Linked DNA regions of Cricetulus griseus. Each later gene encodes a partner of the first gene's protein in a complex. Links are inferred from orthologs where the notes say so. Each region holds a gene or a part of one and is shown on either strand. Other genes may lie near its edges.

What was found. The genes of interacting proteins can lie anywhere in the genome.
Region 2: Dnttip1 (region 1) and Sap30 share a complex: the UniProt entries of both Homo sapiens proteins name them as parts of the histone deacetylase complex. The link is inferred for Cricetulus griseus from reciprocal best matches to the Homo sapiens genes DNTTIP1 and SAP30.

The regions. Positions count from the first base shown.
Region 1 is NC_048599.1:14,670,101-14,674,195, forward strand, and holds part of Dnttip1 (deoxynucleotidyltransferase terminal-interacting protein 1), read right to left. Parts: intron 2,226-4,095; coding exon 2,157-2,225; intron 1,907-2,156; coding exon 1,853-1,906; intron 1,531-1,852; coding exon 1,472-1,530; intron 373-1,471; coding exon 324-372; intron 1-323. UniProt on the Homo sapiens protein: Increases DNTT terminal deoxynucleotidyltransferase activity (in vitro). Also acts as a transcriptional regulator, binding to the consensus sequence 5'-GNTGCATG-3' following an AT-tract.
Region 2 is NW_023276806.1:235,754,158-235,757,437, forward strand, and holds the end of Sap30 (histone deacetylase complex subunit SAP30), read right to left. Parts: coding exon 3,184-3,280; intron 1,298-3,183; coding exon 1,175-1,297; 3' UTR 965-1,174; downstream 1-964. UniProt on the Homo sapiens protein: Involved in the functional recruitment of the Sin3-histone deacetylase complex (HDAC) to a specific subset of N-CoR corepressor complexes. Capable of transcription repression by N-CoR.

The sequences.
Region 1 (4,095 bases):
AGGAAAGGAGCAGAGTACGGAGAGGGATGTGTTCACAGTATATCACACAATGTACAAGGGGAAAAAATAGAGCAGAATTTTTTTTTTTTTTTTGCCATGCTAGGGATTAAACCCAGGGACTTCCATATTCCAGGTAAGTGTTTTACTACCAAGCTACCCCAAGCCCAGCTCTTTATTTTGCTCCTAATTCCAGTCCCCCCCTGGAATACTGTCTGGAGGGGAAGATGGTTTTGGAATGGTGTGAGCACATCATGTATCACCTCTGACCTCTTTACCTCACAGGGCACAGAGCCCTGGCCACTGACACATTCATGCAAGCATACCTTGGGGCCTTCTCGGCGAATTGGTTCACAAGATTTTGGTTTCCATCTGCTTGGAAGGAAAGAAGACAGGTGAATTCTCCAAGGATGGAGGGAGGGACAGAACCTGGAATGAAGTTTACTAGGGGTGATGATGGCACAGTTTTCTGGCAACTCATTAGAAATATAGAGGGAAAAAAAGCCTGGACCAGAAACCACATTAGAACTCAGTGATGGGCAAGTCCAGGAATCTCCAAGTTGCAGCTTTCTCATCTGTCAAAAGGAGATAAGGGCAGCAGCTGCCCTGCCCACCTCGTGTTTATGAGGAATGAAAATGCCTGGTCTGCTTAGTGAGTTCCAGGTCAGAAAAGGGCTACAGAGTAAGACCCTGTCTCCAAGACAGGGCAAAAAGGCTTCAGGAAGGGTGCTATAAACTCAGACTCACAACACCAGGCATGAACCTATGCATCCATGGGCTGGATGATGGTGTTAAGTCATGGCAAATTCATCAGTTGTAACAAATGTGACACTCTGGGTGTTACTAACAGGGAGTCTGTACATATGTAGGGGGCTGGGAGGGTTTCAGATAGCTCTGTATCTTCTACTGAGTTTGTGATGTAGCTAAAATGTTCTATAAATAGAATTTAAAAGTGCTCTTTGATAATGATCACTCTGTTTTGCATTTTAATAATTATATGACTTTTTGTGAGTATCTCCTGTAGCTCAGGCTGGCCTTTAAGTCACCATGTGGCTGAGGATCATCCTGCCTTCACCCCCTAAGTACAGGGACCTCAGGAGTCCACTACCATGCCCTCCCTACTAGGGCATATAATTCTGACTCTTTTTTTTGTTTGTTTGTTTGTTTTAAATCTGCTAATTGCCCTGTTCTTTAGAGACTTGCTGGAAGCTGGTACTTAGACCAACTCTAAACATTCAAGTATGAATCAGGTCTGGTGTGTAATCAAGCTACAACCGTGGTGGGGTTTGTAAAAGACAGCATAAAACAACTCCCCTCACAGTCCCTTCCTGACCTATACTGGGTTAGCCTCTCCCACAGCAGCTTAGGGCAGTGGACCTGCGTCTACCGCTTTCACTTCTGGCCTCTTCCCACTCATGGCCACTCCCTCCCTCGGTTCCCTTCAGCTCTTACAGCACTGGTGGCCCCTACTCACACCATGCCAGCAGCTGCCCGGTCATTTGACAGGACGTGTCCAGGAGGCCGACCTTTCCTCTGCACAAAGAAGAGCTGTCAGAACCCTGACCTGTGGGTAGCATTCTTGTGTGCTGGGCCAGGAAGTCAGTGGAGATGGTTGTCCATTGAGCAGAGCCCTGACCATGGGGAGCACCCCTGCTCTAGTGTGCTGGGGCTAGATCAGGTAGTGGAATTATCCAGAGAGAACAAATGACCTTGGGAGTGCCCCGGAAAGTAACCATTTCTCTCCTTGCCACCCCACGCCTGGAAAAGCCCAAAGGTAATGCAAGCCCAACCTTCTTTTGGAACAGAAGGGCCCTTTCCCAGCTGTAAGCCCCCAACAGGGGACATGCTTATTTACCTTTTTAGGAATGGGGCTTCCTCGGTGGGACTCCTCTTCTGCTTGCCGGCCACGCTGAAGGAAACGAATGGGAAGGGAGTCAGTGCAAGGCTAGTACCTGGGAGCTGCAGTTTTATGGGACTACAGTAAGCAGGGCCTCTGGGCTCCACCCTCTAGCCACCACCTGACACAGATCTCAAAAGTCCTTTGGGACCTGGCCCTACCCGTGATGGTGTGTGAAATTTCCTGGGTCCACATATTTTACCTGCATCCCACCTGACTGTCTCCCCCCCACCCGAAGGCCTTAGGGCACAATGATTCTGACCTTGATTCCTGGAAGTTCATGGGTCAATCTGGGTATTACTTTTTCTCCATCTGAAAAGAGTAGCTTTGCCTGAAAGGGAGAGGCCATTGTTGCCAGTCATTAGCTTGGTAGAGAAGTGCAACTTTCCCATTATCAACACAAAGGCATGGACACTCACATTTATGTTCAAAGATGAATAAGCCAGAGAAGCATTAATTAGCACATGTCCATTTATAAAACGTGGCTATGGAACACACTCTGTTTCTGCTTTTTGACCATGGAGGAAAGGGGAAGGACTTGGTGAGACACCCACTACCCTCTTTTTGTCATGATTGTGGTTGAAGAGCTAGTAAACAGAGGCTGGAGTGTGCAACTCTGAACCTGATCTGAAGCACAACAGCCAGCTCACGTTAACCTCAGCACTTAGGAGGCTGAGGTACAAGGATTGCTGCATGTTTATGGCCAGCCTGGATAACAGGGAGGCACTGTCTAAGAAAAACAAAGGTGTGTATGAGTGTGTGTTCTGGCAGCAGGAAGGGATGAAAAACCCCAAGGAGAGAAGGCTTGGCGCTGTGTGTGTGATGCGAGTCAGAGTTACAGAGGGTTGTGAGCTGCCTGACATAGGTGCTGGGAACTGAACTCAGGTTCTCTATAAATCACTGTGCCATTTCCCCAACCCCCATATTTTCAAATCCAAAAAAAAAAAAAAAAAAAAAAGATTTCTATGGGGTGTGTGTGTGTGTGTGTGTGTGTCTGTCTGTGTGTCTGTCTGTCTGTCTGTCTGTCTGTCTGTCTGTCTGTCTGTCTGTCTGTCTATATGCATGCCTGATGCCCAAAGGGGCCAGAAGAAGGAATCAGATCCCATAGGACTATGGTTATAGACAGCTGTGAGCTACCATGTAGGTGTTGGGAGTTGAACCTGTATCCTCTGGAAGAGCAGCCAGCATTCTTAACCACCCTCTACTTTTACATCTCAGTGCAGCATGTAACTGCTTCTCAGTCTTTGGGCTAAGATCAAGTACAGTATCTACCCTACCAGTAGGATGCAGTAGGGAACTCTTACTGAACATTTGTTAATATCATCAACACATTTAATCCTCAAAACCCTTTGAGACAGAGCCTTTATTTTTAGCTGAGGTCACACAACTAGTCAATTTGTATTGGGGCGGTCTAAAGCAAGAAAAAGTTGGCATTCTTTTTTGTTACATTAATTTTCTGTGTGTGTGTGTGTGTGTGTGTGTGTGTGTGTGTGTGTGTGTGTATGTATGTGTGTTGTATGTGTGCAAGTCAGAGGGCAACTTAAAGCACCTTGTCAGTTGTCTTCTTCACCATGTGCTGTCAGGCTTGGGCAAGCACCTTTCATTACTGAGCCATCTTCCAGAACAAGTTTCCTTTTTTCTTCTGTAGGCTAGGGATGGAGCTCAGCCCAGTACCATGCTGCCGAGTTACACTCAAGTCCAGAAGAGTCTTCTCAAAATGCAAACCCCATCAGGCTACTCTTGGGTACACATCCACATCCTCCTCTGGGCTTGAGTGTTCTGCCTGCTTCTGCAGCAATGCCATGGACTGCTGCCTCTGTGCAACCAGTAACACTTGCCACCCCTGCTCCTTAGACACATTACACCTTTTCTTCCCCCGGACTCCTCATCTAGCCAACTCTCGCCAGACAGCTATTTGTCCAGTACTGTCAAGGGTAAGGACTATGTCCACTCTGCACATTGCTAGGGTCTGATACTAAGAAGCACAAAGTAGGTCCTCAATAAATAACAAGTAGGGAGATAAATAAAGAGATGCGGACCAGTGAGAGGGTTTAGGAGGCAAATGCACTTGCTGCATAGCCTGATGATCTGAGTGAGTTCCATGTTCAGGACACATCAGAGGAAGGAAGAACCATGGAACATGAGCACATGCACTCAACACTCGCCATGGAATACACACATGCACATGTACACACACACAC
Region 2 (3,280 bases), on another chromosome or scaffold:
AGCCTAAAGTTTGCAACCATTCTTAGAACATTTTTCCTGGAGCTGCTTTCGTTTTTTGATGTGACAAGCTATAAACCTGATTTGTTATGCTGAGCATTTAGCCAAGCAATAAAATTCCAAGAGAAATAGATGTTAAAAATGGTAAAAAACAAAACAAAACAAAACACTGACAATGAAATATAAAGCAACCCCAACCCTTAAACAAAGAGCTCATTACACATGCAGACTTCTCTAATCTCAGACAAGGTTTGGTTCCATTTTGTTGAGACAAGGTTTGCTCTGCAGCCAGGTCTCTAACCTGTGATCCTCCTGCCTCAGCCTCTAGAGGGCTGATTATAAACATTCACCACACAGCAGTTTAATTAACATGGTTTGAATTTGCAAAGCAAACATTAAAGAATGTGAGTTATTTTCCATGAATTCTTATTTCAACTCTGAGCAAGCGCTGTGCTTACCTTTGCTGGAATGTAGGGTGTCTTTGGAAAGAGAGAGGCACAGAAACTACCTGTTTTTCTTCATATGCCTTCAAAGAATAATAATAACAATGCAAAAGGGAAATTTAAAAGTAGTTAAGAATCAGTGGAAGTCTAATTTTTAAACCTGCTAACATACACTGTGAAGTATTTTAAAAAAAAACACTGTTAGCCTGAAGTAGAGCTTGCCTTTAGTCTGAACACTTGGGAGGCAGAGGCAGGTGGATCTCTGAGTTCCAGGACAGCCAGAGATACCTGTCTCAAAACCAACAGACGCCCCCCCCCACCCCACCACCACCACCACACACTTACTTACAAATCAAATTGATCTAGGGAAATTACATTTATCTGTTGTTTCTCCTTTACCTTTAATTACTTGGAATTTTCAAGAAAAATTTACAAAATAAGGATCTTTACCTGAAACCTTAATACCAATTCCTGAAAGCTTAAAACAAAAACTAAGTTTCACAAAATAAATACACTGAAGCAGCTATAATAGTAATAACCTTTATTTAAAATAGTTTTAATTTAGGAAGCTCATTTCATATGAGTTTCCAACTAATTATTAGAATCAAAACCAAACAAAAAAAGCCAAAGAAAATCCTCTGTAGAAAAAATACCCAAGAACATTTCTACATATGAAAAACAGTAAACATTCTTTACAGCCAGACATCTATGTGCTAGTGTGAATGCCATCTCTCCTAGTGAACACCACTGTCGACCTTGAGATCTGATTTGTTCTTGTCATTCTTCACTGAGTAGATAAAATATGTTAGGGTGTCTTTTTCATTCACTGGAATAGACCTAAAGTGGCAACCAACTATCTACAAAGAAAAAAACAAATTAAATGTTAGATGCAGCAGATTCTGTGAGCCAGGTAAAAGGCACAGTTTAAAAAAAAAAAAAAAAAGGCACAGTTTAGGCCATGTGTTATATGGCCACAAGAGATTGTCTTTTAAAAATTAAGCTGTTTTAACAAAATATGAACAGGCCCCAAAGCACATTTAAAAAAAACAAAATATTATCAACAAAGGACAGTCTGATTTCAAAGGACCCTTTAGTCTACTCAATTCATATGCTCTAATTCTAAGTATTTTACTTGCTTTGGTCCACTGGTTATAAGTATTTTTCCCTTTAAACTTAACAACTTATAAAGTACATATTCTTAAACATTAAATATCAATGACATAAAACAAAAGAGCCAACGTGCATGTCGACTGCATTCACAGGAAAAGATTAATGTAAACAAAACAACAAAAACCCTTGGTAACAAACTATGATATCATATACAATTTTGGTGCAATTGATATTCATTCTCCCTAAGTTTCAGCAAAATTTTCTGAGTAAGATTTAAGAAAATTAAAGGAGCTAGAAAGACGCTCAAGAAGACTGCTTCCCTGTCTTTTCACAGCACAAACCAAACATGCACACTGAGCTACCAACACGAATAAGAAACTGAGCTGCTAATGTGTGCACTCCGATTCCAGAAGATGGCCTGTTTTTCTAGAACAGAAAATAACTCTGTACTAATTCAACTGTTTTTAGAAGACCAGACTTTAAAGTTGAGATTTGAGTTATAAACTATATGATGTTATATCATACAACGTTTGCATCAGTTCTTGGCTCCTCTCTGTTACAAAACAGGGGCGACCATACTTCATTAATGTCTAGTATATTTCATCATAGTAGGGAACATCTTTATGTTTATGTACTGTGCCATGGTAAAAGGACTAGATCTTTAAATAAAATTTGAAGAAAAATTATATTTTTGTCTAGGCAAAAAATAGAGGAGAAAATTTGGCTAGTTAGCATATTGAATTTTAATAATGTAAAAGAACTTTCTACAAAGAATTGCAACTTGTATTTATCTTTTATTTAATATGCACATTAGAAATGTAGGCTAACTACTCAAGTCAAACCCAAGAATATGAGAAAACTCATGTAAACACACACACACACACACACACACACACACACACACACACAGAGAGAGAGAGAGAGATTTCTGTCCTGTCTATTTAGTGGAAAAGTTTATTTTACATATAAAGTCTAATTATTTAAATCTGTAAATACTTTAAAGTGCACAGATTTTGTGGCTCTATTACTTCTTGAAAACACACACACACACACACACACACACACACACACACACACACAGCTAATTTCCAAAGCACTCTGAAGGAACCAAAGTCCTATACAAAATAAACTTTAAGTAAAAGCTTGGATAAAATCTTTGCTCTCTCTCGATGTAAAGAAAGCATCTTCTACTTAAAAACAACAACTACTAACAAAGACAACCTGAAAGTAAAACTAGAAAGTTAGGAAGTACTGCTTCAGGGTTCATCTGTAGGCCTATCCCAGAGAAGCTTTGAAAACTAAATTCTGATAAATGCTTGTAAGCTTATTTATTTGTTATGCCTCAATTAGGTGTTCAATAAACAGACATTGAATAATTAGAAACCTAAAACAGATTTCTGAAGTGATTAAAAACTCACTAAATACTTACTCTGAGAAATCCCTATTAAAAAATGCTGTAAGTGGATTTTCTAGGTGACAGACAGTTGTTTCTAAACCACTATATGCACACCATGATAGACCCATTAACTCTGACTTTCTTAGACATTAGACATTTACCTATTTCATCATCATTTAATCACAACCCTTGTTGGTGTGAACAGGTTTGTTTATACCGTATAAAAATTATACATACCTCAACAAGTTGTGCTTTATTAAGGCCTGGTCTGGTTGGAAGCTTGAAGTGTCTTTTGTATCTTCTAAGTGTATTTACTTGTAATTGGTACAAATCA